6 linked regions of the Cricetulus griseus genome follow. The protein of the gene in region 5 interacts with the protein of the main gene of each other region in a biochemical or structural test. Links are inferred from orthologs where the notes say so. Each region holds a gene or a part of one and is shown on either strand. Other genes may lie near its edges. The genes, in order: Thra, Rxra, Ctbp1, Nr5a1, Nrip1 and Esr1.

Region 1 (5,164 bases), on a different chromosome or scaffold from region 5:
CCTGTCACTGCACAAGGTGTGTGTGTGTGTGGGAGGGGGGAGCATGGTTTTCCCGCCTGGGTCAGTTAGGGGAGGAGCCTCCTCACCACCTCCTTAAAGAGTTGTAGCCTGAGCCTAAAGTGCTCCCACTGAACTGGTGTTCCCTGTGGGCCTGCCAGATTCAGGGGTCAACAGGGGAGTCTACTCCCCTCCCTTTCCCCATCCCCAGCCCCCAAAACATGCTGGCCAGCCGCAGCTGCAGCATTAAGGAAAGGCAGGATGTCCTGAGCAGCCAGCTGAGCACCCCCCCACCCCCCCAACCTCCTGCTGACCCCAGAAGCAGGCTGGGCGGGCCAAAGGGCCCGAATTTGAGCATTAACAACTGGAAAAGTATGAAGAATGTTGCTGCCAGCTCTGAGAAAAGAGACCGTGGCAGAAATGAAGACAAGCACAGGGCAAGAGAGAGAGAGAGTTACAGACTGGCAGAGACACAAGGAGAGAGAGTCAGACACCCCAAGACAGCAACAGAAAGACAGACAGAGTTAGAGAGAAATTCCAAGTCAAAAATACACCTCACTCACACAGACATTCGCCAGCCAGCATACGGCCTCCCAAGGAAAGCTTCCAAGTTTGGACAAGAGGGCCAGAGGTGAGAAAGGGGGCAGATTCACAGTGGGAGGCAAGCACTCAGCTGGGGACAACTAAGGGTCCCCAGGAAAGGCCCAGCCAAATAAACCCTAGCAGGGGCAGCCAGGTCCCCACTGGCTTATAGGCTAGGGATGAGAGAGAGCCAGAGAGCCACTCCCAACTCTTCCCCAGACACCCCTCCCCCAGCAACCAGGACAATCCCAGCTGCTAGAAGTCACTGGACATTGCTGCAGGCCCATGACTCGGCCCTCTGGAACCCCCTTTGTACCCACTTTGCTCTTGTTTCTCTGTCCCTCTAAAAGGGGGGGGGGAGAGCCCATTGCTACACAGTGGCTGAGCCTAGAAGATAGAAAGAAGCCAGAGGGAATAGTCTGTGGCTGTGTGCATTTAAGTGCGTTCCTGCCCTAGCTACAATGTGTCTATCTGCAAGGGTTATCTGGACACTGCCAGGTGGGACCTGTGACTGCACTCGGGAGCCCTGTGCATGGCCCCTGCACCTGTGAGACTAGGTGTAAAGGAGTGCACCTGTGCCTGGAGTTCCTACAGTCAATCAATTAACAAGTGTTTACAGAGCACACACTGTGCTAGGCTCTGGGTGGGATCCAGGGTTCTTCTAGAGGTTCTCCCATGTCTCAAGGAGATTGCCATCTAGTAACTGGGTGGTATGACAACCAACAGTAACAGACTATATTATCAGGAATGCATCCTGTGCACCAATATGCAGAAAAGTCTTTTTATACAGATGAATTTGATTTTCTCGGTAGCAAAGGTTTTGTTGTCCATAGAACCTCAGCTCCACAGATGAACCCAGGAAAATACTTGTTGCTAAGTTGAGTACACATGTGTTGATGTGTAGCTGTGTTTTTTGTTTGACTGAGTGGCAGTGACTGTCATGGCAAGCAATGATGACTGCATGACTGGGCACATGTGAGCTCGTGTGTGCTTGTGAGTGACAGGGTCTTTTGTAATTGTGCGGCTGTGTGCAACTGCTGTGTGTGCATGCATGCATGCATGCATGTGATAGTGACAGCGACTCTTCCTTGCCCCTGTGTGTGACAGCATCTCCCTGTGACCCTGTGCGTGGGTATGTGCACAGGCTGTCTCTCTGCTCTTGGTCTCCCGTGGGTGTGTCCAACCCCTTTGAGCTCCACCATGCAGCAGCAGTCTGCCTCTTCCCTTGTCCCCATGTGGGTGTGTCCAGCAGCTCCTGTCCTTGAATCTGCCTGGGTGTCCCTGAGTGTTCGTGTGGCTGTCTGTGTGGGCATATCTGTGTCTGCATGTCACCTTTGCCTCCCCCTTCATCTTGGACAATGGCCCCCTTCATCCCCTCCCCCTCCTGGGTCCAGAGCCAGCATTCAGGGGCAGGCTCCCATCTCCCCGGCTTTCCTTCTGTGTACCCCCCCACCCCTGGTCCCCGAAATGGGTGGCTCTCTCCATTGCCTTTGACATCTTCCCAGGCCTTCCTTTCACACTGGACAAGGGAGGGCCCTAGACAGAAAAGGGCCACCGGAGACACGTTGCAAAGGGAGGGAAACAGGGGAGCACACACACACACACACACACTCACACACACACTCACACAAACACGGGTCCATTGCTTCCTCTCTTCCCCACCACAGGCCAGCAATTCTCCTAATCATCCAGGGACCATCCACTAGTACACCCCCACTACTACAGGCTCACATTCCCCCCACCCCACCCGCCGCGTTTTTGCAATTAGGAGTGTTGCAACCAGAAAGCCATGCTCAACTGGGAAAGCAGGGAGGGGAGGGGGACTTCACTCTCCCCCAGCCCATGCAAGGCCCCCCCCCACCCTGCCGCACCCACATTGCCCTCCGTAGCTGGAGGCGGCTTTGCAAAGGCCATTCGCCCTCTTTGGCGGAGGGGGGAGGGTTGGGGGGGCACGACAGGCTTCTGGCACACCGTAAACAAACCGCGGCGCGGCGGGCGGGGGAGCCTCGGCAGGCAGCGGGGCCCAACCCGGGAATGCGCAGCAGACCGGCCGGACAGAGGCCGGGCGGGCCCTCGAAGGGGAGGCCCAGACGCCATCTCCGCGAGCGAACCCCGGGGCCCACCGACCACTTAACAGCACCTCCCTTTCCCAGGGCGTCAGTGGCTCGCTCTCGGGCTGTGACAGGGTCACCCGGGCGCCCGGAAAGGCACAGGTCGGCGACGGGAACCCCCTGGCCGCCCCCAGCCCGCCTCCGAGCTGGCCAGAGACCCGCGGCTTTGCATAATCAATCGCGATGCATTTGCATATTAATGCCCCCTCGCTCCCTCCTCCTTACCTTGGCTTGGCGCGCTGAACCGAGTTGGGCAACGACGCGGGGGTCTCAGCGCCCCGTGCTGGGGGCGTCCATGGGGGGCCGGTTGGGCCCGGGCCGCCCGCCTCCAGCGCCGGGGTGTGAGTGCGAGTGAGCGCGGGGGGCGGGGGGCGAGTGTGGCGGCCCCGGCGCTCCTCCGGCAGAGGCGGCGGCCGCTCAGGCTCCTCCCTCCCCCGCCCCGCTCCGGCTGGGGCTCCGGCTCCGCGCGCCCGGCCGGCTCGCGGCTGCTCCCTGCAGGCCGCCTCGCAGCCGTCGGCCCCCGCCCCTCGGCCCGCGCCGCGCCCCGGGACCCCGGCTGGTCGCCCCGCAGCCCCTCGTTCGCCTTGGCCTCTACTAGGCTCGGACTCGCCCACTTCACCCCTGAGGCTCCGTCGAGGAGCGAGGAGGCTCTGTGACACATTTTGAGCAAGATGTCATTTTTTTTTAATAGCTTTTTACTCGCTGGGAGAATTGGGGGTTTTCTGGTTTGCACCCTGAGGTAGAGGGGAAGTTTCGGGGAGTTCTCTGCACCTTATAAATCCGGGAGAAAGCCCAGATACCAAACGATAGGTTTGTTTCATAGTTCGGGTCCCTTCTCTCCAAGCAACTCTCTGTGTGACCTTGAACAAATTACAGCTGCCAGGGTTAGTTAGAGCTTAAAATCCAAGTGTTGGGCAGGTAACTTCTGAAATCCTCCTAACTTCAACCATTTTATTTTCTAACCGTTTTGGAGTCTCATTTTTCATTTTCATGCCTCCTTTCTCATTTCTAACATTAATGCTGGATCCACTGCCTCCTCCTGCAAACGTTTCTTTTCTCCATAGAGGCTCTTTCTATTCAGTGCCCACCAGCCATTCCCCAACAATATACAGCCCGTGCTAAGCTTGGGGAGGGGGGTGGGCAAGACTCTCTACTGTCCCTCGGCTCCCAGTTTCACTGAGGTACGATCTCCTCTCATGTTTGCACCATCAAAATCCAAATGGTTCCAGGGCCAACCTAAGGAGCAGAGTGGCTGCAAATAGATGGACTCATTTTCTCAAAGGAGAGGTCTCCATGCTAGTTCCGGACCCCTGCGCGCGCACGCGCACGCACGTGCACCAAACACACACACACACACACACACACACACACACACACACACGCGCGCGCGCGCGCGCGCGCGCACACACGCACACCCCTTTGCATTCATGGACATAAAACCCTGTCAGTGACGCCATAGCCCCTTTCATCTCGGGATCTACTACCGCCAGGCAGAGGTCTAATTACCCTAGCACCCCCCTCTGGCCCCGCCGGTTCCCCCGCTGTCATTAGCCCAGTTTTACCAGCGGGGGCCATAGCCTTCCCACGGCTGCCAGGGCGGAGCCCTGCCTCCCCAGCTTGCTCTTGGGGAGGAGCCAGTGAGTGTGTCAGGGGAGCTGCTCTTCTAACCGTTCAGTTTATACTGGATAGAATCGTTTGCTGAGTGGGATGCTGACCAACAGTCTATCCAAGTTGGGCTGCCCTTGCTCATCTTAGTCTCAGCCACCTACACCCTGAACCACGGAGCCACTTCTCTTACAAGGGATTTTAAGGGTTTGCAATGCTTGTGGGGAAGGAAGGATGCCTCTCTTGGGGCTCCTGAGACAAAAGGGAAGAGAAGGAAAACTGGGATGAGGAAGAGTAAAGTGGAAGGTAACAGTTATTGGTGATGACACACACACACACACACACACACACACACACACACACACACACACAGGCTGAAGGAAGCCTGCACTGTACAGTGGCAGCTGCAGTAGGGGACTGAGGCTGCAGTGTGCAGAGTCAGCATGCAGTCAATGAATCTGTTCAGTCCCGGCTCCCTGTGGACATGCAACAGCTGCAGTTTAAAGCAGGAGGGTGCAGTGTGCAGTCAGAGGGCTGAGAGTGGCTGTCTGCCAATGGAAGCCACCTCAACAATAATCAGGTTTGACGGAAACCCTGGGGAGCAAGGCAGTGTACAGGCTCAGGGGCCATGCTCAAGCCCATACGGAAATAAGTCTCTTGAGACTGGGGTACCAGAGGAGCTGAGAGATAATCCCGGGGTATGAGAAATACAATTATATTCTGCTTGAGTGGTTCAGCAGTAATTTGGACCAGGACCAGGCTTCAAGAATTCAGATGGGAAGGTGGTACTCTTGTTTCTCTCCATGTTCTGGAGAGTTTTTTGTTTGTTTGTTTTCCTTGTTGGTCTGATTAACAGGGTCTTGCTACTA
Region 2 (4,501 bases), on a different chromosome or scaffold from region 5:
AGCACTGAGAAGGAGTAGGCTCAGGGTTGAGCTCAGCTCCTGAGAGGCTTGCACAACCCCACTTCCACCTTCTGGCCAGGCACACAGCTGGCCACGGCTCTCACCCCAAGTCTATCCACTCAAGCACCTGTCCTCTAGAGGATGTGCTGGTGTACTGGCTATTCCCCTAAGTGCTCCCTGAGGGCATGTGGTACCCCAAGGATGAAACAGTGTACCCCACCCTTGGCAGGACACTCCCTCCATTTGCCCTCTCACTACAGAAAAATGGGGGGGGGGCAGAAGCTGGGGTCTAGCTCAGCTAGACAAATGTATTAAGACTTAGCCCCTAATGGCCATTGGAAATCTCCTAGTCAAGGTCATACTTAAAAGAACATTATACTCTGTATGAAACATGTGCCAGTCAGAATGGCCAGGCTAGGGACACTCACACACACATTCCAGACCCATAGCACACAGTTCTGTATATGCTGCCCCACCACCAGCACTGGGAATGAGGTGCAGCTACTCCCTGCACCCCCTGCTGACCTCATAGCATGAAAGAATCCCACAGGAGCATAGGGCTTCTCATGAACAAGAAGACCAGAATATACTGAAAGAAGGACAATGTGAAGAGAAAAGCAAATCCCAGCACTGCCCTCCTCAGGCTGGTCCTAGACAGGGGCAATTAAAGAGCTGGGAACAAAGTGGAAGGACACACAATAGCCATTGGATTGGCCCCATGCACAACCCAGGCAGAGGAAGCTGGAGGGGCAATGCTGGAGTGAGAGTAGAAGACCTTCAGAGAGTGCCCAGCCCTATGAGGCCCAGGCCTAAGACTGATGGAAGAACCTCACCCAGGCACCCACACCCCCCCCCACACACACTATCTATCTATCTTCTATCTATCTATCTATCTATCTATCTTCTATCTATCTATCTATCTCCCTCTATCTATCTATCTATCTATCTATCTATCTCCCTCTATCTATCTATCTATCTATCTATCTATCTCCCTCTATCTATCTATCTATCTATCTATCTATCTATCTATCTATCTCCCTCCCAACCAAGGAATACTTTCCAAATGCAGGGCTAGGAGGAGACAATGCAGCTGGGGAACCTAAGGGTCTAGTGACACACCTTGACATCTGGCACCTCTGGGGAGTTTCCTGGTCTGTTACACAGCCTCCCTAACCCATACATATATATCTTGCTAATAAAACAGGCTCAGAGTCCCATTGCTCAGAGGGCCTGTGGATTAGCAGGTGACCCTACCAGGGATGAAACTGGAAGTAGCCTTGAGAAGAAGGGGAGCCCAAGATGACCCTAACATTCAACAGGCTCTGGGGGGATATTTTGGCGGTCTCTAGAGGTCCCCCTCCACCACTCCAACCCAAATGTGCCTCATACCATGGGCTCTCCTGATCATCCCCTCACTAGGCAGATGGAGAGACAGGAAGTCAGAGACGACCCTGTGGATACCCTCTCTCTTGCCCACCTTCCTTCCTCCTACTTCTGCCTCTGCCATGCTTTCAGCCCAGTGCTCTCCCAGTCATGTGCTGGCTCAGCCCTGCCACACCTCAAGAGGGGACTGTGTACTCAGCTCCTGTCTTTGGGGTCAAGCTGCTAGTAGGATGGTCCTGCTCTGTCTTTTCTATTCTAAAACCCCAAGGCCCAGCTACACAGCAAGCACTAGATGAAAATCTGGTTGGGGGAAGGGCTGGCAAGAAGGCAGTCCCTCAACATACAAGCTATACAGACAGCAGTCTCAATAGCACAGGCCAGGAGCTCCACTGAGCACTGAGGAGAGGGAGCACCCTGTCCCTGAAGACACACAAAGGAACCAGCCAGGCTATACCAGAGTCTGCCAAATTCAGGCCTAGACTCTGCTCAAATCCCTCTACTCTAACAATGCTGGGGAAGAGGACAATGGAGGCCTCCTGGTTCTGATGAGAAAAGTGTGCTGGGCAGGAGGTGGGTATTCAAGGCCTACCTTCCCGCTTCATGCCCATGGCCAGGCACTTCTGGTAACGGCAGTACTGACACCGGTTTCTCTGCCTCTTGTCGATCAGGCAGTCCTTGTTGTCACGGCAGGTGTAGGTCAGGTCTTTACGTACTGTCCTCTTGAAGAAACCCTTGCATCCCTCACAACTGTACACTCCATAGTGCTTGCCTGTAGGGTGTGGACAGAGGGATGGGTGAGCTATATTGACAAGATCCTCACCCATGTGTCATGCTGCATGCTGGGGCTCTGCCTTCAGGTTTCAGAACCCCTGTCTAGGCTCAGGCTAGACCCTGCCTGGTCCTCCCTGCACAAATCAGAGACCAGGTCCATCCACCTTCTCTCTATCTGCAGGGATTAGGGGTCACCACCCCCTAAGGACCAGCATACCAACACTGATGATGTTGTGCTCTCTGTGCCTGAGCTATTGTGTTCTAGAAGAGTATAGACACACTGTTCTTGGCTCTTAGGCTACTGGGGTTCAGTAGCACAATGCAGGGGGGCCCTTCAACAGGCTTGGCCCAGACAGGAGGCTAGCTATCATTGCACCTCAGCCATCCATGCCTGCATCTTCTCTTGGCATGCCTCCAAACCACCCTTCCCATCCTAGTGCCCACCTTACCTGAGGATAAAACAAGGCACCTGGAGCTCTCAGCCCACCCCTTGCTCTACAGGCACGGGAGGCACCCCTGGGTTCCTGCCTCCCTGAACCCAGCCCAATGGAAAAATCTAGAGAGGCCCTGTGTGCTTTGTCTAGGTATGGTGCTCCTGCCTACCAGGCAGTCCTACCTGAGGAGCGGTCCCCACAGATAGCACAGATGTGCTTGGTGAAGGATGCCATATTTCCTGAGGGGTGGGCAGGAACCTTGAGGACTCCATTGAGGCCCAGTGGGGGCTTGATGTCCTCACTGCTGCTCACTGGGTTCATGGGTGAGTTGAGCTGCAAGAGGATGAGTCAGGATAGGTCAGCCTTGGGAGGCTGGTGACAGGCATCAATGAGTGCTGGGCTTCCTACAACTCCACTCTACAGAGCCTAACTCAGGACACATGGCTAAGGGACAGCAGGACCATCATCTTTAGAACAGGGGTCAGCTCTATGTCCAGCCCTCAGAGTTCCTCCCAGAAAACCCAGGTCACTGCAAGGTACCAGAGACCACACATAGCCAGGGATCCCATGTCTCTGAGTATCATACAGGAGGCCCACTCCACCACCCACCAAAGAGCTACCTCCGTCACTTAACACCTGCCATGGGTCCTGGACACATGAGAGCACAGGTGCTCTGGGCTCCTCCACCGCCCAGGTGAGAACAAGAGGCCCAGGCTCGGGGAGGAGATTGGACTGGGCTCCTTCAGAGCCACACATATCCCCACCACCCTGCATGACAGAGGAATCTGGGGCAGGACAAGACAGGAGAGCAAGTGAACGCCCCACACATCAAGCCATAGGGCCAGTATGGCCATCTTGGCCTCAGCACACCCCTTGCCTCGCCCCGCCCGCTGGCCGCCAGGGGCAAGCGTGGGAAACTCACCCTGTCACCCAGGCAACAGCTGCAGCGTCGCAATGACACAGCAGTTTTAGTTCCGCAGCCTCCAACCCAGCTCTGCAGTAAGCACACAGTCCAGAGGCACTTCCCTCTGCCTGCCTATCTGCCAGGGCGCCAGAGCCCAGCTGGGCAGTCCCCCCACTTCTGAAAACCCCTGACAAAGGCAAAAAGCCAGCTGTATGGTTGCACTGCCCTTGCATAGCCCCTGCTGCCCCCCTGCATGGGGAAGCTCACCTCCTTCCTCAGGGCCTCCTACCCCATCCCCCTTTCTCACGGGACAGGAATAGCGCAGAAGCACCAGAAGCTCTCTCTCCATCAGGGGGCTAGCACTCAGAATGACTCGGCAGCCCTAGCTGGCCAGGGTTGTGAGGCTGGCAGGGAGGCTCTGCACGGATGCCTTATTCTGGCCAGCTGAAGGGGGCTGCTGGGAAGCCTGGAGGCCCACAGAGCTGTGTCAGGGGGTTGTCAGGACATGAGAGTCCTTGGTGGCAAGCAGGACATCCTACTGCAGAGGAGAGCAGTTCATATGCTAACTGGATGAAGATCCTATGTGGGGATCCTGGGGTAGCAGGGAGACACCACTGGCTTTTGCTAGGAAGACTGCACACACCCTCCATTCTGCTCACTATATAGGGAGCCTAACCCTGAGGTTCCTGGATGTCTTAGCTCTGGGCAGCATCATCAGCTCAGGTCCAGTGAAGCCCTGATGCCAGGGCAGAGCAAAGGCTGGGCTGTAGCACCCTACCTCACCACAGGTCCACAGATACCCACAAGGTTCCTCAGAACTCCACTAGCAGACAATCCTGGAATCTCTTCCCAGATGTGAGCTGATGGACTAGGGCAGTCTCCATCTATCCTTCCCTCCCTCAACCTCCCGCATGGACCATAACCCCCATTCACCCGACTTGTGTGCTTCCTACACATCTCTCAAGAGACCCAGGACTGGACAGCCCTCTGCTGGAGCCCAGAGCTTCCC
Region 3 (5,272 bases), on a different chromosome or scaffold from region 5:
GCACCACACAGAACTAAAAGAATGGACAGTGATGCCTAGGGAGGGTTACAAATCTGGGTCTCCACTATCTATGCCTCCCTGTGAGCTATAAATCCCACACCCCTGGCCCATACAACATCATCCCAAGCCTGCTAGATTTTTCCTTGAGCCACCCAGGCCAATTTAACCCTGTCCCCCAAAGTCTTCAAGCTCCTACACTGCCTATATAACACAGGTCTGATGCTGACTGGAGGACACGCAAAGACCTAGGACATCACAGCAGCTAAGTCAAGCAAGGTTGACAAAAGAGTATACTAAAAGTTTTAATTTTATAGGAAATGAGCATATCTTCTAAAGATGTCACCCCACAGTACGCAGCCTGGGCTCTGGGAAAGATGGTGCATGTTTGTGATCATGGTCCTCAGTACCTGAGGGCAGGGTGCTGCAGCTGCTGCAGGAATGCTGAAAGACTCAGGAGGCTGAACATGTCTACCCTGCAGAACTCACAGAGTCACCATTACAGTGACTGTGAGGATACAGAGTGCAGACCCTGGTGCTGGCAGACTTTCAAGTGACATGGCTGAACTACAAAACCAACGCAATATAAACTAATACTTCTCTTATACCAGCTTACATCCCAGGGCTTGGAGGCAGGCCACCCTGCCCAGCACCATGCAGGCCAAACCCTTTCCTGCCACCAGCAGAATGAGAGCTGGTGTAAAGGTGTTGCCATGCAACAAAGACCTCGGGGCATTTATTTCTGCTTCACACATCTTGCCCAGGAACCACAGGGCCACCAGGTAACATGCAGGTTCTACTCCAAGAGGGTCCTCAGCAGTACCTAGGTCTGAGGATGAATGGTCACAGAAGCCTCTGGCCAGGTTACAGGGCAGGACAGGCACCACTTTAGTTCAAAAGGCAGGCAGGAAACAGTAAGCTGCTGGAAGCTGGGGGGCAAGGACCTGATCCTACCTGAAACCCTGAGGGGAACACTGGACCTCTCTGAGCCCAAGGCCCAGCTGGAGAGGCTAAGCACACTGCTGAAACCCAACGACAGGCCCACAGGTGATAGAAGAAAAGTAAGAGACCAGAGGAAGAGCAGTGTGTCACTGAGGTCCCACCAAGAATCTACAGGCTCCAGTCTACATTATGCACAACTAACATGACATGGTAGCCTCAAACATCCTGGAAGCTGGCTGACACACATACCAGAGCCATGCCTGACCAAGCTCCAGAGTGGAGAAAGGGCAGCCTCAAACCACAGCTGCCAGTCTAAATAGTAACAAGACAAGGAAGCACACACAGTTCCGGAGAACAGTATCACCCCACATACCCACAAAGCTGTCCCTGAACTTGGCACATCCCACAGCTATTTACCCCATGTTGTGGATGAAACACAGAGAGATCACACATGAGCCCAGGATCATATTCATGGCCATAGCCACCGTTCTTCCAAAGATCATGCTGCCCCAGGACTCAAAGATGTTGGCTCCATTCTATAGCAGTGGGCCTAGTGTCCTGCATGCCAACTACAGTGGGGTGGGCTCCTGTACACTCCTGTTTATAATGAACAAATGCTCTCTGACTCTGGAAATGACAAAGCAGAAACAGTGAGGGAAAATCTTGGTGTCATCTTGCTGACACCCTGGCTCACAGGGTTCACCTTCCTGAATACTAGAAAACTCCTTCCCTTTTCCTTCCTAGAAAGCTTATTTGTCCTAACCAATCACAAACTCATCAGAACAAGGGTGATGGCCCTGGGCCTGGAAAGGTTTGACAGGCAAGGCCAAGATGCAGGCGGTCCTCCTTATCTCTGAAAATCAATGAGCTGGGCCTGCCTTCCCTACCCCACATGAAATTCTGGCCTATAACCCTGATGGTTTGGGTGCAGAGTAGCTTCCCACAAACACACACACAATATATAGAATGCCTTCAGGGAGTTACAGCTCTGAAATAGTGCAGTCTTGGGGGAGGGGTACCTACCACCGGCCCAGAATGCAGGGCAGGCCTGGAGGCCCATACCCTGCCACACCCTGAAACAGGCTGACAGACTCTGCGAAACGGCCTTGTGTGATAAGAGGCGCAGTAGGCCATCACAGGGCGCCTCCCTCCTTCCCTCGTGCCCACAGTTCCGTATTTCCTGCTGGCAGCACACACTGCAAGGATCTTTCAGGCTATGAGGAAGACGGCAGTGAGTGTCCTTGTGAGGGCAGAGATGGGTTCAGGCAGGCCCTTTTATTATTAAGGTAGAAGAGACAGAGAGGGGGACACCATGGGGCGCTAGGACGGTGGGCAAAAGCTCCTCTGGGCTCTGCAACCTCTGGGCCGCCCCGCCCGAAGGTGGGGTCGGTCCCACTGCGCGTGCGCCAGGCTACGCAGCCAGCGAACGCCGCCAAGACTGCCCTCCACCAGCAGGACTCCTGCGGTTTAAGGACTTTCACAAATGAATAAAAAACTTAAATGGTCCAAGGCCAGGGGCCAAGCTGAGCATCACTAAGTCGCCTGGAGGCGTGATGGGCGTGTATGCCACCCATGTTCCCTCAATGCCACCTCTAGAGAACTGCTCCCGGATCCGCCAACCCGAGGCCCAGGCGGGATTCGCAGGCTCGTCACTCCGGGAACACCTAGGTCCCGCCCGGATGGCCACGGGAAGGAGCCTCGTGGGGCCATAGGCCAAGAAGACGGGCCCAGCTCGGTCACAGCCTGGGTCGAAGCACCACAGGCCTCTTTGTCACCTGCACGGGTCGCGAGCGGGTAGGGGAAAATAGGGACGCGCACTCATGTGCAGCAGTTCGCGCATGCGCCCCGCCCTGTGGCCGCACCGGCCCCCCCCAACCCCGGCGCGCTCACCGAGCGCGCACGCGCACTCGCACACAAAGCCAGCGCCGCGCGCGCCCGGCCGCCCCCCCCGCCCCCCGCCGCAGCCGGAAATGCGCGCGCGCGGCGGCCTTACCGAGCGGCAGGCCCTTGTTGAGCAAGTGCGAGCTGCCCATTGAAAGGCGCGGGTGGCCGCGGCGCCCGATGAGTGTGGCGGTCTCCGCCGCCGCGAGGCCTACGCCTGGGGCGGCTTCGGCGCAGTCTGCTGCTCCGCCCGGCCGCCTGCGCCCGGCCGCCGCGTGCCGAGCCGCCACCGCGCGCCGCCAGCCGCGCTCCGACCGACGAGCGGGCGGGGACACGCGCGCGCGCGCGCGGGCGGGGCCTCGGTTGGTCTGCTGTTTGCCGGCAAGGCGGCACGCTGGACGTACGCGGGCGGCTCAGGGGCCGCGCTGCCCGCCGGCCCGGCGCTCGGCCCCCACCACTCGCGCCCCTCCCAGGCTGGATCCTCTTCCTGGACACGCCCCCAGATGTTCCCGCCCCGGGCCGCCCCTCCCCTCCCCTCCCCTGCGCGTACCCGGGACTGCGCCTCTGCCACTCCTTGGCGCGGTGACCCGGGCCGGAGCCCGCGTGGTGGAGCAGCCCATCCGCGTGGGGCGCTACCGGGCTGGTCGCCGCGGCCTCGAGCGGATAGCGAGAGGGGCGCACCCGGCCTGAGCACGGCCGGAGCCGGGGCCGCGGACCCAGGACCCAGGAGCTGGACAGCGCCCTAGCCTGGGAAGGTGATCTGAGTGGGAGGCTGGCTGTTTCTGGAACTGTCAGGCAGGCGTGGCAAGTGATACCACTTAGCGGTTCAAAAAAAAAATTTTTTCACGAAAACAGCCCAAACTGGAGGGTGCTGAAGGCCATTTTGTTACCTACATGCTGTGAAAATCAAATCTTGAGAAAAGTGGGCAGATCGAGTGACTGATGACAAGGGTCTGGGCGTCTGTTTACAGAGCAAATGCTTTGAAAATACCTTCCAATTCGATCCATTAGCTGGCATGGATAGAGAAAAGGATCTAACAGGTGGAGTTTCAAACCTGCTACGGTACTTCCTAAACAGACTAAGGGCTGGGGTAAGACCAGCAGACATACACCTCCCCTTAGCCCTCACCCCCATCCGGAACTGCCTCTGGACTGCCTCTCCCGCTCCGTTCCAGTTTTCTCAGGCAGCAGGTAACTCCCTAGAGATCGTCCAAAGGGCTCCTCCCAGTTCTTCCATCCTAGCATGGCAACTCCATGGCAGCCTGACACCTCCCATTTCAGTCTACCCAATTCTCATTTTTCTTGCACAGTGCGACCAGGGCCACCACATCGGGAGACTGTATCAGGGCTTGTTTGAAACCCGTTAGGGCCTCCCATTGCGCTAGAGGAAGCCCAGGTTTCTTGTCCCCATCACGTTGACTTGGACCCTTGTGCCTGCTGTAGGACTACCGGGCTGTCATCCTCCTACTCCAGAAATAGCCCCTTGCCGGCAGGAGTCGACTCCTGAGTATTTGAAGTGGAGAGCTGCTGGGTAGGGATATGGAAATGGACAGGGTCTGAACACACCCATCCTAAGAGAGACCTGACTTTATGATTGCCCAGAGGCACCTGCACCACCTGCTTCTGAGAGAGGATCTGGTGTCTGTTGGGCCTCACTCACCCTGCACTCCACTCCGCTCTGCCCAGCTGCTCAAAACCTGAAAGCCTGAGTCATCATCCTGGTGCCAGCTAGCCAGTGAGAGAGTGTGATGTTCACCCTTGTCTTGACTGTCTCCACCCCAGGCCACAGAGTGGCCTGGGTACCTGGTAAATGGACCCATCCTGCCTGCCTCTCTCAGCTGTCCACCCTCTGGCAAAGCAGTCCTCTTCCTGGGAGGACAAGACCAGAGGAACCCCCAGCTCTTCCCTTACTTGAAAGCACTAGGTTTGCATCCAAGGAATGAGCATGCTAACATGGCTCTTCCTCAGCTTAATGAAATCACATCTGTCTGCTGAGGCTAGAGGACACTCTGTACTCAACCAAAGAGACCTATGGAGAGACAGACGGTTCCCAAGGCACTACCCTGTCCACCAGCCATTCTTGTAAGCCATTTGAGACTCTTAACTCTGCTTTTCTCAAATGTTGTTCAGATTACACAATTTACAGAATAGTAGTGTGGAAACTGCATGGAGCTTTGAGCATATCCACTCTAAGACATATTCTAGGCTCTAAGGAGGTCTCCAGGGTAATTGCTCACTTCCTTTTCTGGTCACCAAGACATCGACACCCACATATCTGCTGATCACCTAGGAAGCATCTGGAAGGTTTAGGGGTGGTGTCCCAGTCAGTGGAGGCTGCTGATTTGGAACATGTGGAGCCATGGAGGAATGGGGAGCAGCCCTGCAGAGACTTGGGAAAAGAACACTCCAAGAAAATGAGCAGAAAACTCAAAGCCCAGATATAATACAGGAA
Region 4 (5,269 bases), on a different chromosome or scaffold from region 5:
ACAGCTGAGGGTGGTGGGGATTGATGTCCTTTCTGAATGAATGAAAGGATAAGACGGCTGGATCTATTTCTGACATAGGCTGGGGATCTGGGGGACAAGATGAGTGTTTTGAGGGAGCTCAGGGTCTCAAAGAAAGAGGGAACTGCCTGAAACCCCAACTGGGAGAGAAGCAAAAGTCTTGGAGGAACAAGGAGGTACTGAGAGCACACTAGCCAGGGAGGGGACACAAGAGAGATGGACTGAAGAGACAGGAGAGGGATGGGGAGAGGGCAGTGGATATCAGGAAGCTGCAATCGCTCGGAAGTACCATTGCTGACTGTAGTAGTACCTCCCCCAGACACTGCCTGAAGCCATTGGGCAGGAATGCATATACACACGGTGATGCTGGACAGCCAAGAGGAATGACTAGAGTCAGGGGGCCCCGGGATTTGGGGGGATACCTACCTCCAGCTCCTTGAACACCATGCACCTTCGCGCCCAGTCCACAATGGAGATAAAGGTCTGATCTGCCATCCTGCAGAGGAGGCTGAAGGGGGCTGGCTGGTCCGAGCGGCTTTTGGCTGGATCCTGCAGGCAGCCCACTATTCGGGCACGCACCTGGTCCTCCTCTGGCTCTAGCTGCAGCAGCTGCAGTATGAGCTCTGGTACATTGGGCCCTCCTGAGAAAGGCTCTGGATAGCTGTAGGGTGGCCCTGACTGCTGAGGGGGGCTGGCATAGGGTTCTGGGTACTCAGACTTGATGGTGCGGTTAGAGAAGGCAGGATAAAGGTAGCCAGCCAGAGGCCCATGGGTACCAGGCATAGCCATGGGCAGAGCTGGGGCTCCAAAGTCACCCAGCGGCCCAGTGGGTGGGCCAGAGACCAGGGCCTTGGGCTCAGGTACATGCAGGCTAGGGGGTAGCATATAGTCCGGTGGGGGAGGGGGTGGCGGGGGCACCCCCATTGGGGGTCCAGTCTCCAGCTTGAAGCCATTGGCACGAATCTGTGCTTTCTTCTGCTGCTTCAAGGCCCGGTCTCTCTTGTACATGGGTCCAAACTTGTTCCGGCCACCCCTCATTCGGTCAGCACGCACAGCTGTGGGCAGGAAAAGTCAGTCAGGGTCCACCCTCCTAGTTACCTCTCACAGATCTTTTCCAAAAAGATGAGTCTCTGTCTCTGTCTCTGTCTCTGTCTCTCTTTCTGTGTGTGTGTGTGTGTCTCTCTCTCTGTGTGTGTCTGTCTCTGTCTCTGTCTCTGTCTCTCTCTCTCTCTCTCTCTCTCTCTCTCTCTCTCTCTCACACACACAAACACCATTCCTCCACCTCCATGCAATGGCCTGCTCAGTCCATAGGTGAGAGCCATAGCCTTAGCTTGGCACTCCAGGCTTTTCTCCACCTTCTAGTGACCCCATCTTCTTCCCCTCCTCCCTACTTACCCTTTCGTTCCTCCACTTAATACACCTCCTCACCCACCTTGCCTTCTGCCTGGATCCCTTTTCTTCCTCTCACATTTTCTTTCTCATTGCGTAGCCCAGTCACAGTGTTGCCACCTCCAGGAAGTCCAAGGATTGTCCCAGGCAGAACCCCCTGACCTGCCCCATAGTATACCTCAGACTGGAAGCACCTGGGGTTCAGCTCAGGCTTAGGTGCCCAGCCGAGGACCTCACAGGGAAATGGTGAGAGAAAAGGGCCCCTAGTTTGCTTTGCTCACAGTGGGGGGTGAGGGTGCCAGCTACTTGTTGCAGACTTCTTGATTCTACTAAGCTCCTGTTGTAAGATGACTGGGGCTTCCCCCACTGCCTTCTACTGTGGAGCCTGGTTTAGTGCTGGAGGAAGGGACCTATTTTGCTGACCAGATGTTTTTCTTCTGGCCAAGAATGTGTCACCAGCCAGACTTAACAGGTGCATCTCTGCAGCTCGAGTGTGGATCCAACCCCTGCTCAGACAGGACCCCACCCAAGCTCTGAGGAAAGGGAGAGCTGGAGAGAGGGGTGGTGTTTCAGAGAACTAAGAGCTTGGGAGCCTGCCCGGCACAGATCTTCCTCCTGGGAGGTGGCCAACTTACTTTGCTCCCTCAGGCTGCTCCAGAGGCTTCTGCCACCCACAATGGATAGCTCTCTGTCCTCTGTGGACCTGGAGCTAGGGATGAGGGCCCCAGGTACAGGACAGGGTACCTCCTTCAATCTGAGTCCTTCTCTAGATAGCAGGATATGTCAACAGCTCTCCCAGCCTTTGGGGCCTTCTCTGCAAAAACTTTAGCTGACAGCTGCTGACTGGGCGCTCAGCCCGACTGGGGCCAGCGGGGTAGACACTATGACTGTCCACTGAGTCTGAGTCTCTCCTGATGGGCCAATGCTGTCCTCTCTGGACCAGAACAGGGATAGGAGAGAGGAGACTATAAGCCACTGTTCCCCTCACCCCAACCTTCTCAGAGCTGAGCTAAAAATGCATGGGAAAGGATCTCAATTCCTGCAAAACTTAGATACCTGGACAGATAGCTGCACAGGGTGGACAGTGATGAACAAATAGCAGCAGAATGTGTGATGATGATGACAATCACAGATACTCTGCTGCGCATTTGCCCTCACAGCAAGCAACTCCGGCTTTTTGTAAGCCCCCAGTCCCCCCACCAACACAGGGCAAACATTACTTTTTAGCTCATTATTTAGATGGGGGTATCTGCAGCTCAGAGGGGTTAAATTATTTATTTGCTCAATGTCCCCATCCTACAAGGGAAGAGGCTGGGATTTGAACATGATCAAGTTATTGAGAGCTTTGGCTCTGGCTGGTGTGGGGATATATAGGGACGGGTGGAAGTTCCTCCATCTATTGGGGTTCTGCTCTGTCCAGGAGAAAGGCTTAACCCCTGGAGGAAGGGAGTGCGGAGTCTCAGTGTGCAGCCCATAATCAACTTGCCTCAGTCTCCTGAGTCCTGGGATTGCAGGCATGGCCCTAACCCTAACCCACTTTTGATACTTCGGAACCGAACACAGGCAGGCCCTGCCTGCAAGGTCTCTTCTGGCACTTGCCTCCCTAGTTGCCTCTGTTCCCTGCAGAGCTGGGGCCCCAACATCACGCAGAGGGGCCAATCACCTGGATCCAGAAACTGTGCCTTTCCCCTCAGCCCCTCTCCCAGGCCCGCCCACGGCTCTCTGGGGGGCAGCAGTCAGGGGTCCCAGGTGTGCAGGACTCGCACCTTCCAGGCGCATGCCCACGGTCAGACACTTCTGGAAGCGGCAGAAGGGACAGCGCTTACGCTGCGTCTTGTCGATTTTGCAGCTCTGACTCTCGGTGCACGTGTAATGCTTGTTGTTCTGGACTGTGCGCTTGAAGAAACCCTGTGTTAGAGGAGGGAGTGAATGCCAGGTCCCCGACCCTCGTTTGCCGCTAGCACCCCTACCACCCGCAGCCTAGTTTTTCCCTGCTCCGTTTCGTGCTCACCTTGCAACTCTCGCACGTGAGCAGCCCGTAGTGGTAGCCCGACACCTTGTCACCACACACCGGACACAGCTCGTCCAGGTCCTCGTCATACGAATAGTCCATGCCCGCAGCGTCCGCCTGTGGAAGGAGGAGCGGATCAGCGCGGGCCGACGGCGACTGGCCTGGGTTGCCATGGTCTGTGCTCCAGGGACAGCCCACAGCATCAACCGGGTGCGGGGTTTGCCATCCCAGAGCAGCAGCTCAACCACCCGCCGCGCTCCAGCCCCGCTTCCATGCCGCCTCTGCCGCGCCGGATCCGGGACCCTCGGATTCGATGCATTTCCATCCTGATTCGTTTGTCTGAGAACAAAACCCCGATTCTGAGAAAATCAGATAGGTTCGGGCGCGGGAAGACCGACGCCAGACAACCAGGGAGATGTGGGTCGCGCAGCTGGAGTGATCTGGGGGCCTGACAGAGCTGAGGCAGAGACAAGTCTAGAGAGACCCCAGCCTGTGCTGCACAACGGAGAGGGGGGTCCCGGGCGACGGAGAGAGGAATGCCGAGCTAGAGACATTGCGGAGAGATTCATAGATGGTTGGCCGATAGGTAGATAGGTAGGTAGATACTGATAGATGATAGATTATGTAGATAGACGATAGATAAATGATAGGTGAGATCGATGATGGACAGATAAGGATCAGTAGATAGTAAATAGATGAACGATCAGTGCTGGGTAACGAAAGAGAGAGGATCAGAGGTTCCGAGTGACAGGCCCAACGAGAAAAGCCGTGAGACACAGAGTCAGAGACATAGGGAGAGACACCGAACAACGAGAGACATCCTGGGGAGATCGAGGCCTCCAGAGTGACAAAGACAAGGAGGATAACCTGGAGAGACGGAGGTGCCCAGCGAGAGGGTCAGGGACTGGGAGACAGACTCTCGGCGGGCGGCGGTGCGGGCAGCGAGCTCCGAGGCGTGGCCCCGTGGAGGGACAGAGGCCGACCCGGAGAGGCAGAGAGCCCTGTCGCCCTGCGGCTGGGTCCGCAGACAAAGCCACGCAGCGACGGCACCCACCGGCGAGCCCGGGACGTCGGGCCGGGAGCAGGTGTGGAGGGCGCAACGGGGTGATGGGCGCGGGGCGGAGACCTCGGGCGGAGACGGTGCGGGCTATAGAGGCTGGGGTGCAGGCTGCGGGAGACCTCAGGCGGAGAGTCCAGATCCCGAGAGCCACGGCCCGGGACGCGAGAGCAGTACGACGTCGGCGCCCAGTCAGGCCACTCCCGCGAGCAGCGCCCCGCACCTTTGGGCCGCGCCGCTGCCCGCGATGAAGCCGCACAGGGGCGCAGCGCCTCCCGCCTGCGATGACGGCCACTTGGGCCGGGGGCGGGGAGACCGTCCCGCTCTGCCCCCGCCTCCCCGCGCCCGCCGCCCGCTGGGCCGCTCGAAGCGCACCTGGGACCCGGGCCCCTCCGCCGCACTGCGCGCTGCGCGAACCCGCCGCGCGGGGCCGGGGCGGCCGCTCTATAAGTGCGCGTGCGGTATCCGGGGGCGGAGGCGCGGGCCGCGTCCTCCCCACAGCCCCGCTTGGCCTTCACCCTCACCTCCCGGCTCTCTGGCCCCAGCTCGGTTCTCCGAAGCCCACGAGCTCCAAGAGAATTGGGGACTCTGAGCACCCTGGAATTCGGTCAGGTGTCGTGTACAGGGAAGCTTCTGGCCATCGCCTGCGCAGGGAGAAAGCGAGCTCCCGTTTGGCAGTCCAGTTTAGGGTGGCCAGGACCAAGGTGGGAACTCTGGACGTTTTGCAGTGTGGAAGTGGCTAAGAAAGAGCGTGGGGGTGTGCGTAAGGCACGAGGCCAAGGTAGAAACTAAGC
Region 5 (4,979 bases):
TAACTTCACACACCAAAGCATTACTGCTTCTCTGGAAGACAGAAGTTGCTCACAATTTTCAGGCTTACAAATAAAAATTATCTAAGACCTTTGACCTCATAGATCCTAGGCCACTCTGATTTAAAATGATTTCCAGGCCATGATCTTCTATACTGGCTTGGCGATGAAATCTACACAATTAATAATAGCCTGCTTTGCTCTCAACTGTCTAGAGAGCCGAGGATGGCAGATCTATCCTCATCTCCCCATGTGTTCCATTAGACTGACATATTTTGCCTCATCTGTCACCTTCGATAAAACTCTGCTTTCAGATATGAGTTAATTCATTTTCAGTTGTCCTCGATGTTCTAAAATAGTGATGTTTGACAGAATTAATCCAGTGCTCTAGTTCTCTCTGTTCAACTGATATTTAATTAAAGATCTTGGAGGCCATCTTTTAGGCTACACGTTACAAGGAGGAGCATTACTTCCTCCTTGGACAATGTGCTGCGCCACATGGCAGAGGCTGCCTCCCTAAGGTGTCCTGTTCAACAGACTGCTCTCTTGCATAGCCACCACCAGCAGGACAGATAATCACTCTGTTTCACATGGCCTGATTCTCACATAGTTGAACCCCAATTCAACTACTGTCTACATTCTCTCTGACCTTTTCAGTGTCTAGAATTTTGTAGTGGCAATACTCCTCCCTCTATATTTTTTAATCATTGCTTTTGTTTCCCTAGAACCACAAAAGGTACTGAGAACACTTATTTCGTAATATTTCTTGAATCTCTGAAAACAGAAAATCTTTTAGCAGTCACAGCCACCCCTAAAGCTCACGCTTAGAAGGCTCTGCCTTACATTTCTGAATTAATATCTTTTGGAGGCCAGCCCACTTGAGTTGATATGTCATAATTTTCTATTCTGAAGGTGGCGTGGATAATTTAAATTGGCCCTTGCTGTTTATGACTTAAGTAATTGTTCTTTTGGACAGCCTTTAGGAAGCCTCAACTTCTCAAATCATGTTTGGACCATGCAGCAACCATAAGGGACCTGGGGATGGATGTAAGCAAACTCCAGGAGCCATAAACTAACAAGCAGACTCTAGGTGGTGGTATAGGTTATTTTTTATCACAATGTTTTGCTCTTAAAACTGGAGGACCCAGAGCAGCCCTAGCCTCAGCCACAAACACTTCTCCACTGCTAACTCACAATATTTCCGGATAGCTCAATTAGAAAAGTACAAGTTTAACAAAGTTTGGAAAACACAGGTTCTCAAGCTTCTCATGGGTTTTAAACCTGATGTTCCACGGTCTCAAAGGCAGCACAGGGACTCTCATCTGTGTAAAGGCAGCCACCGAACTAACTGCCCTCCTTATTTACTTCTTACCTGTTTTCCTCAAGCTCCTCCTGTACTTTGCAGGCTAACTTTGCAAAGAAATCTCCCCACCGGAGTACAAAGTGGCCTGGAGTAAGTATCCAGTCCTAGACTAAGCAGTAGTGCCTGCTATGTTACTGCTTCTCCTTTGTCTATAGGAACTAAGTAAGACCAAGCCTAGAAAGTTCCTATTGGTGTTGAAGCCAGGCTCCCTGAGTCAATTAAACCCTATGGTCATTACCAAACTGCTGGGCAAAACCAGGGCAACTAAGTCACTTGGAAGTAAAAGGACATTTCAACACACCCAGGCAGCAGCCACATTTAGGGGCCATGCGCATGAAGCACTGTTTGCTTAAAAAGTAGACTTACTTCACTGTCTCTTAGACAAAGGTGGCAAACTGGTGACTGAACATTGAATAACAGCATCGGGAAGGTGCCGCCCACTTGGTAAAACCTATGATTCACTAATAAGCAGGTTCAATGTAATTCATAACTTTAAAGAATGAATTCCTGAAGCCCCTTGCTTTACAAAACCCAGGAAATACGAAGACTATACATCATTTACGCATGTATAGGTGTGTACACAGACACAGACAGGCAGGCACACCGATCTTGTTTTACTTTGAGACAGTCTCTCTCTTCCTCTAAAACACGGTTTTCCCTCAGTGTCACAATCATTTACATTAGCAGACAAACTCAAGCCTGATGTCACAAAAATGAGTTAAAAGTTCTTGCACCTAAGAACGTAGGGACTTTACCACCAACTAAAATGACACACTAATTTTTAAAAAGTATCTTAACATAAAATTACCTAACGTTCTGTTCTTCGTTTACGACCGCCAGAATCCAATTAAATTACTGACATGATGGAAGGTAGAAACTCCTGGAATGCCTCAGAGATCAACATGTGTCAGGCTCACCGCCTGTCCGCCTTTTAAACACAGTGGATTCCTTTGTTCCTTCAGTCTGAACATCAACTCCTGATTAAAATTTGGAAACTACTTTGGGAAGGATGGGGGTGGGGGTCCGGAGAGTGTTGCCACGGACGAGGGTTTCCTCAAACCGGAGTAAGGAGGAGAGTGGCACAAGAGAGAAGAGCGTCTCCGAGGACTTCAGCAGGCTCACACTAAACGCAAAGCCCGCTCTCGGATGCTGGGGAAAAACTAGGCTGAGGCCTCCGGTGCAAGGAGCCTCGCCCTCCCTCGGCAGGCGGGGACCTGGTGCCCAGCAGGCCGGGCCTGGGGCTCAGCGCTGTCCCTGTCCGAGTCACTTTTCCCTGCCGGGAATCGGCGAGCACCGCGCAGGGAGGCACCAACTAAAGGCGGGGAGCAGCGCGGGCGCCACCGCGGGCACCGCTGGGCGGCAGGACCGAGCGGCGCAGCAGCCAGCGCCCGGGGCTCGGGGCCAACAGGAGCAGCCGAGCGGGCTCGACCCGGGCCCCGCCACCCGGCCACCCGCGTGGGTCCCGGCTCAGCACACCCAGGGAGGCTGCGCCCCTCGCGCCACGGCTGGCACGGACGATCCCACGGCTGGGAACTCTACAACTTGGCGGCCGCGTCGGCGCGGGGGGGGGGGGCGGCCGCGAGTTCCCGGGGAGACCCGGAGCCGGGCGCGGCGGCAAGCTGTCCCCGGGATCCGTGTGGCCGGCGTCCCCCGTGGGCCTCCCCGGCCTCCGCCGCCTCCCCGGGCCGGTCACCCAGGCCGTGCCCGGGTGGCTCGGCGTCCGCTCTGCCAGCTCTGCACCGAGCCCGGGCCGCGATCGCCACTCACCGAGGCCGCCTCGGCTCCGGGCCGCCGATCCGCGTCGCTCCCTCCTTCCCGGGTGAGCCGTGCCCTGCGGCCGCGCGAGGCCACGGGCGGTGCGCACGGGCGGGCTGGGGCCGGCTCGTCCTCCGCCTGCACCGCGATCGCCGTCGCCTCCCGAGTTCGGGGCTCTGCTGCAATGTCTGCGAGGCTGACTTTGAGCGCCTCGCTCGCCGCCCGCCCGCCGCAGCCGCGCTCCTCCCTCCGCCGCCGAGTTCGCGGCGGCCGGGTCCCTCCCCTCGCTGCTCCACGCCATTCAGCTCTTCAGCCAAGTTTCTTAACCCTTTTCTGCCCCTCCCTCCCATTGTCACCCGGGTTGATCGCGTACCCGGCGGCTCGCTGGAGCTGGGGAGCCTATCCGGCTCCTGCAGGCCTCCTCTCCGGTGCTCCGGGTGGGAGACCCGGGGCTGCGCGGCCTTGAAGGTAGAGAGAGGACACAGTTCGACCGGGAAAGGGGGGTGCCTTGCTCTCCGAGCAGGAGCCCTGGCTTTCCGGCCCCGTCCAGCCGCCTGGACAGATTGTCCCTAGGGACCAGGTGATCGTCCATGTCACCCAGGCTTGGGCAAGCGTTGTGAGCACCGCAGAGGAATAAAGACACCCTGACCCTTCCCTGGGGTCTCCACCTAGGGGCTGGCACCTTAAGGGTCTCCCTTCCTCCCATTTCACCCACAGCACGCGTTCTCTTGACTGCCTTTTACCCACCCTAATTTCCACCTCCTAGAAATCTGTGTCCCGCTTAAAATCAGGAAGGACGGCGCTATAACTCTAGGTCATTTTGACCCCATGCCCACAGCACCTAGTAGGACCCAGTAATTAATGTGGCGTGATTCCAAGCGGAAAACTGGGAAGGAGACCTGAGGAGTGCCCAGCTCAGCTCCCTAGACGGACGCAGGACCCAGGAACCGGGTTTATCTTCAGCTGCTTTGTCACTGCGAAGTCTCCAGCAGGGTCTGTCGGGCCATCTGCACCACCCCCAGGAAGGATCTGACCCAACAGGACTAGGAGATGGGCTGTCACCTCTTTAAGCAGCTGTGCTCGGTTCAGAGTCTCAATAAATAACAATTACATCACGAAGCCAGGGTGGCAGTACAGTGAAACCTGGGTTTCCTGCAGCCTTGTCTTGCTGAACCCGCCTCTAAATTTGAGGGGGGCTACAGATTGGTGAAGCGAAAAAGTGGAGGGAGGAGAGAATAATAAGAAACCATGATCTCGCCCTCTCGTGTTTTCCGCTTTAAAATCCTCTCCTCGCGAACATTACTTGTGAAGACTCCTTCTGACGCCCCTCCCCACCCAGATGTCACGTTTCCTTTTCACTTTAGTATCTCTCCATGAAAAGAATTACCAGCGGAAAAAGAGTGGTTGTAAAAGTTGGTTTTATTTGACATAAAAAAAAAAACAAAAAACTGAAGTACATTTTCACTTCACCCTGAACTGTAAAGTGGTATGGCTGCGTTAAAATACTCACTGGATAAGACAAATTTGTGGATGAAGGTATCTACTGTCATGCATTTTTGGTAGCATTTGGAAACAGTTACTGATGCACATAGAAACCAAAGATGACCTAAGTGATCAAACTGTATTCTTTACTGTTATGTAATAGTTATACAGCCGGCTATTTTTCAAATGAGCAAGGTCTAGAGTGCCTTCCCAATCTTGAAAGCGAAAGCAGTTTTTCAAATTAATTCTTAATAAAGCGATATCCTAGCACAGTCCTGAACCCATGTCAGGAATATTTTGGCTAGTGGTGATGGTACATTTTAAGATACATATTATCTCTCCCAGTGAGTCACCTGTGCAATCTGTTGTCATCTAATGTAGT
Region 6 (4,501 bases), on a different chromosome or scaffold from region 5:
CCTAAGTAATAAGAGGCAAAATTCAAACAAAACAGCAAAAGTGTTATAGAAACTGAGCCAAATAAGAAAATCATTCTAAAACTAAATTTCCACCCAGAATTCTACCTGTGTACTTTGTTTTTTGTTGTTGTTGTTTTGTTTTGTTTTGTTTTTTTACCTTTAAGAATCCCTTGTAGGTTTTTTTTTTTTTGCTTTTGTTTTGAAAAATATCTGAATATTTCTTGGAGCACAAGTTTAAGATGGGGTATTTTATGGTGAGATTCTTTGCCACAGAGATGATGGGCCATATTGAATAAAATGTGATCCCTCTTTATTTTCTCAGGCTCACTTTGTAATTATTAGCAAGGCAGTAAATAACCCGCCAAGGAGCAGCCTCATTAGTCCCCATTGAAATTCAGTGGCATTAATTTGCAATAAAAGAACTGAAAATTAAATGGAAAAAAATACTTTCGGGACTCCATCACAAGGTTACAGGATTCACATTTTACCAATACTGTCCTTAACATCAAGGAATTTTAAAAGTATGAATTAGACTTAATGGCTATATTTTGTTCCTCGGGCTTAGAGCAGAAAAAAAAAAAAAGTAGTTGAGAGAATAAATTACTTTCCTCTTCCATCTCAACCCTGAATTAAAGCATGTCAGATTAATTTGAACCCAGCAACTTTTTAAAACTTTTGTTCACTGTTTGTTCTGAATGTGAAAACTGGGCCTGGACCCACTTCAATATCTGACGCTTTGGTTCCTGAAGGTGAGCTTGTATACACCGAGAAATCACCCTTCAGTATCCTCTGGGGCCAGTCTGCACCTTGGTCCCGTTTCTCCCGCTATAAATACATCTGGAAACAGAACACTGAGCAAAAAACGGTCCACGGCTTGTAACACAGAAGGTCTTGGCAGAAGCAGGAGCCAATTGCCGGGAGCCAGCCTACAGTGGGCTAGCTTTGCTTCAGCAGCATGTGGGCATCAGATAACTTTGTACCTGGCCGTGTATTACTGTCCCCTAGGCAACTCTACAGGTAGGTGTTTACCAGAACCACCCACCTAAGCTTTCTGCAGGCCCAGGAGGACAAAGAAGAAATGAGAGGAAAGGGACATCAAATAATAAAATAATTAATAATAATATAATAATAATCTCTTAGGAGAAACTAAAACCGAGGACACAAAACAAGAGTCACTTAGGTCACCGAGAGTCTGTCCTGGATTACCCCGTGTCCTGGACTGCCCTGGCTTCTTACACAGCGCCTGCCTGCGGGGCAGGATGGAGCTAACCAGCAGCATGCCACTCCAGAATTCTCTGCTGGCTGGGTCAGACATGAAACTTAGTTACAGGGGGTTACTGCACTGTTGCTTCTATGTGGTATGTTCTAAACACATGGGACACCTATAAATTCCCAGCTGTCAGAAGTCATATGCCAGCAATGTGCTCTAACTCAACTCAGCCAGAAATCAAAACTTGTTGAGACCCATTCCACTCCCATATCAGCTCTTCTGAGCAACCAATCCAGAAGCCTGGAATGGGGAAGGCAGGGAGAGAGACCCATAGGCACCTCCACCTAAAACCCCATCTTCTCCCGTTTACCTTGCATGTTTCCATTTCAAAACTCTAGATGAAACCACACTGAACCCGACACACCGAAATAATGACTAATCAATGCCCCCTGAGCTCCCCTAGCCCCAAACACCCCCATCTTTAAATAATAAAGGGGACCCTTGCACAAACCACCTGGGCCACCTGGGGTTACTCGCTCTGGGATGTTCTCCCCATAAATAACTTCTCTGGATTGTTTTCCCATGGTTGTGTAGTTAGGAAACACGGGCCTTTTGAATCTGCCTCTCCCACAGACAACTGCGGTTCGAGAATATTGTTGTCGCTGTTGTTATTGTTGTTGTTTTTAAGCTGAGAATGGAGCGAAGGCGGGAAGAAACCTTCCTGACTTCCCCGAGGGGTGGGAGGGGGCGATATGTGGCCAGTGAGGTTCCCCCCTCTCGCGCTCCCTCCCCGGGCCAGACCTGGCACAGCGGCCAACCCGACGTGGTGCGGGTACCTGTAGAAGGCTGGAGGGCCGGTGTCGCGCACGGCATAGGCGCTAGACTCATTCTCCAGGTAGTAGGGCACCTGCTGGCCGTGCGGGTGCAAGAAGGGCGACAACTGCGGCGGCGGCGGGTGTAGTAGCATCAGCGGGCTGGGCGACACGCTGTTGAGCTGGGGGAAAGCCCCTAGGCTGTTGGAACCGAAGGCGGCCGCCTCGGACCCAGGGCCATAGGCGATGCCCGACTGGCCGTAGACCGGCGCCGAGGCGGCGGCGGCGTTGAACTCGTAGGCGGCGCCCTCGGGGTAGTTGAACACGGCGGGCTTGCTGCTGTCCACGTACACCTCGCCCAGGGCCCTCTCCAGGGGCATCTTGAGCTGCGGGCGGTTGAGGGGCTCCAGCTCGTTCCCTTGGATCTGGTGCAGCAAGGCCATTCCCGAGGCTTTGGTGTGGAGGGTCATGGTCATGGTCAGTGGCGGCAGGCGAGGCGCAGACAGGCTCTCCGCGCACGCAGAGGGCTCAGCAGCGGACGGGCCACCTGGAAAAAGAGCAGAGCCGGCTGTTAGAGGCGACGCAGGGCAGGTCCCCTCGGTGCGAGCGTTGGCCCTGGCCCTGGCCCTGGCCCTGGCCTGGCCCTGGCCCTGGCCCTGGCCCTGGCCCTGGCCCTGCCCCTGCCAGGGGGCAGAGGATCCTGTAGAGCCCAGGTGACCCAACTCCAGGGAGCGCACCCCGCCGCTCCCGGGTTCTTCAACTTTACATACTGGTCTTCCCTGCTCTTTGCACATTGCAAACCTGCTGGAAGCCGCCAACCGGGGGCTGCCGCTTTCAGACAACGATGGAAACATTACACCGCGCGCGCGTACCCAAAGAACCGCTTCCCTGAACTTTACTTTCCTGGTCTTCGCGGCTGGATTTCGCTGCAGGGGGTGTGGGGTAGCAGAGGAATCTCCAGCAACCGTGCCCCCCCACCCCCATCCCCAGGAAGACTAGGTTTGCAACAAATGCAGACTAAGCCACAGGCCGCGCTTTTTTTTTTTTTTTTTTTTTTTTTTCTGATGTGTTGCCTGTGTGCTGGTGCCAGGCTCCAATCTGTCTCTGTTTGTCTCTCTTTCTGTTTGATTTGGTCTTCTTGTTGGCTGGAAGTACGTAGTGTATGCATAGAATGGCCCTGGGAGGACCGTGACTGTATCTGTAACTGAGCTATGGCAAATAGAATGGGGTGTGTGGTTGCATATGCAGCCAGCCACAGATAGCTATATTTAGCATTGGTGGACACAGATAGGAGGCATCTAGGGCCAGGAGAGCGGAGATGGAGCATGTATAGAAAGATCTGCGCTTCAAGTCAAGAAAAACCTGCCAGCCTTCAGCTTCCACATCTGGCGAGAAAAAAACAAAAAACAAAAAAAACAAAAACGCTCCCCAAGGGGTCCTGTCCAGCACAGCCATTGCTTTTCTGTTTTTGTTGGACCCCAGTACCAATTTGCTTCCTTTTAAAATTCTCATGCGGATATGATTCAGAAAAACCTTCAGTTGGGCACACATGGGTGTCCCTGCCTTCCACAGGTTATGCAACCAAAACTTGAGAAAAACTGAACGTGGAATGAGACATTTTCCTATAAAATATCGCCTGGGGTCCTTAACCAAGGCTCTGGCAATTAACTAGATAATCCTTTCTGTCTAGCCAGAGACTTTTGAGAGGCTCCCCATGCCCTTCAGCATCCTACCGTATTGAATTAAAATCTGATTGCACACACACACACACACACACACACACACACACACACACAAACACACACACACCTGCTACTGTAACAAAAGACATAAGCTTATACTTTTTAAATAAACTTCCTCTGTCCCAACCTAATGTCCCCTAAAATAACCATTAACCTTTGACTTTGATTGCTATTCCATATGCCCCCAAAGAATACCTGGTACATGCAAATGTCAAGGTTGCTGTGACTAATAGTAACACTTTGAAAATATTTTCTGCTGCGTACACAGTTCATCTAATTCTTAGGGGGAAAAAACAGATCGTTTTGGATGCTACACAGCCAAGCTGATTTAAATCCAAAGACAAAGTTGAGTTTAAAGTCCATAAGTCAGGGTGACAGCAGAGAAAGGGTTAAAAACACATTAGGTGAATCGCAGATATTTCTCTTTATGGCCAGCAACCATTACTTTCTAGAGCAATGTTATCACAGATGATTTAGTTTTCGTAAATCACACTTTCAATTTTCAAATGCCTTTTTAAAACACATGCAAAAGCAAGCACTTCGTGGGGCTCTTTGAAAATCTCACCCAGCCAAATTATATATAAATGGCACAAAGAAGCCTACAAGTCCAGAAAGGGGAAAAGAGGAGCCGCACAGATTCCCCCGATAGAAAAATAGCACAGCCTCTTCTCCGACTAGGATACAGACAGTAGGCAGAAAGGTAAGTTGCTTTCTCAAAATGCTCAAGCTAGAGAGAG

Evidence for each region.
Region 1: the proteins of Nrip1 (region 5) and Thra form a complex in vitro, tested with the Homo sapiens proteins (4 studies listed by BioGRID). The link is inferred for Cricetulus griseus from reciprocal best matches to the Homo sapiens genes NRIP1 and THRA.
Region 2: the proteins of Nrip1 (region 5) and Rxra form a complex in vitro, tested with the Homo sapiens proteins (2 studies listed by BioGRID). The link is inferred for Cricetulus griseus from reciprocal best matches to the Homo sapiens genes NRIP1 and RXRA.
Region 3: the proteins of Nrip1 (region 5) and Ctbp1 form a complex in vitro, tested with the Homo sapiens proteins (2 studies listed by BioGRID and IntAct). The link is inferred for Cricetulus griseus from reciprocal best matches to the Homo sapiens genes NRIP1 and CTBP1.
Region 4: the proteins of Nrip1 (region 5) and Nr5a1 form a complex in vitro, tested with the Homo sapiens proteins (2 studies listed by BioGRID). The link is inferred for Cricetulus griseus from reciprocal best matches to the Homo sapiens genes NRIP1 and NR5A1.
Region 6: the proteins of Nrip1 (region 5) and Esr1 form a complex in vitro, tested with the Homo sapiens proteins (4 studies listed by BioGRID, with this or other methods). The link is inferred for Cricetulus griseus from reciprocal best matches to the Homo sapiens genes NRIP1 and ESR1.

The regions. Positions count from the first base shown.
Region 1 is NC_048600.1:111,824,272-111,829,435, reverse strand, and holds the start of Thra (thyroid hormone receptor alpha), read right to left. Parts: upstream 3,082-5,164; 5' UTR 2,916-3,081; intron 1-2,915.
Region 2 is NC_048599.1:139,423,313-139,427,813, reverse strand, and holds part of Rxra (retinoic acid receptor RXR-alpha), read right to left. Parts: intron 2,922-4,501; coding exon 2,771-2,921; intron 2,153-2,770; coding exon 1,973-2,152; intron 1-1,972. UniProt on the Homo sapiens protein: Receptor for retinoic acid that acts as a transcription factor.
Region 3 is NW_023276807.1:102,316,902-102,322,173, forward strand, and holds the start of Ctbp1 (C-terminal-binding protein 1), read right to left. Parts: upstream 3,163-5,272; 5' UTR 2,973-3,162; coding exon 2,933-2,972; intron 1-2,932. UniProt on the Homo sapiens protein: Corepressor targeting diverse transcription regulators such as GLIS2 or BCL6. Has dehydrogenase activity. Involved in controlling the equilibrium between tubular and stacked structures in the Golgi complex.
Region 4 is NC_048599.1:149,976,345-149,981,613, forward strand, and holds the start of Nr5a1 (steroidogenic factor 1), read right to left. Parts: upstream 3,521-5,269; coding exon 3,419-3,520; intron 3,316-3,418; coding exon 3,174-3,315; intron 1,074-3,173; coding exon 445-1,073; intron 1-444. UniProt on the Homo sapiens protein: Transcriptional activator. Essential for sexual differentiation and formation of the primary steroidogenic tissues. Binds to the Ad4 site found in the promoter region of steroidogenic P450 genes such as CYP11A, CYP11B and CYP21B.
Region 5 is NC_048597.1:18,833,706-18,838,684, reverse strand, and holds the start of Nrip1 (nuclear receptor-interacting protein 1), read right to left. Parts: upstream 3,258-4,979; 5' UTR 3,128-3,257; intron 2,774-3,127; exon of another isoform or gene 2,169-2,773; intron 1-2,168. UniProt on the Homo sapiens protein: Modulates transcriptional activation by steroid receptors such as NR3C1, NR3C2 and ESR1. Also modulates transcriptional repression by nuclear hormone receptors.
Region 6 is NC_048595.1:282,392,068-282,396,568, reverse strand, and holds part of Esr1 (estrogen receptor), read right to left. Parts: intron 2,570-4,501; coding exon 2,047-2,569; intron 1-2,046.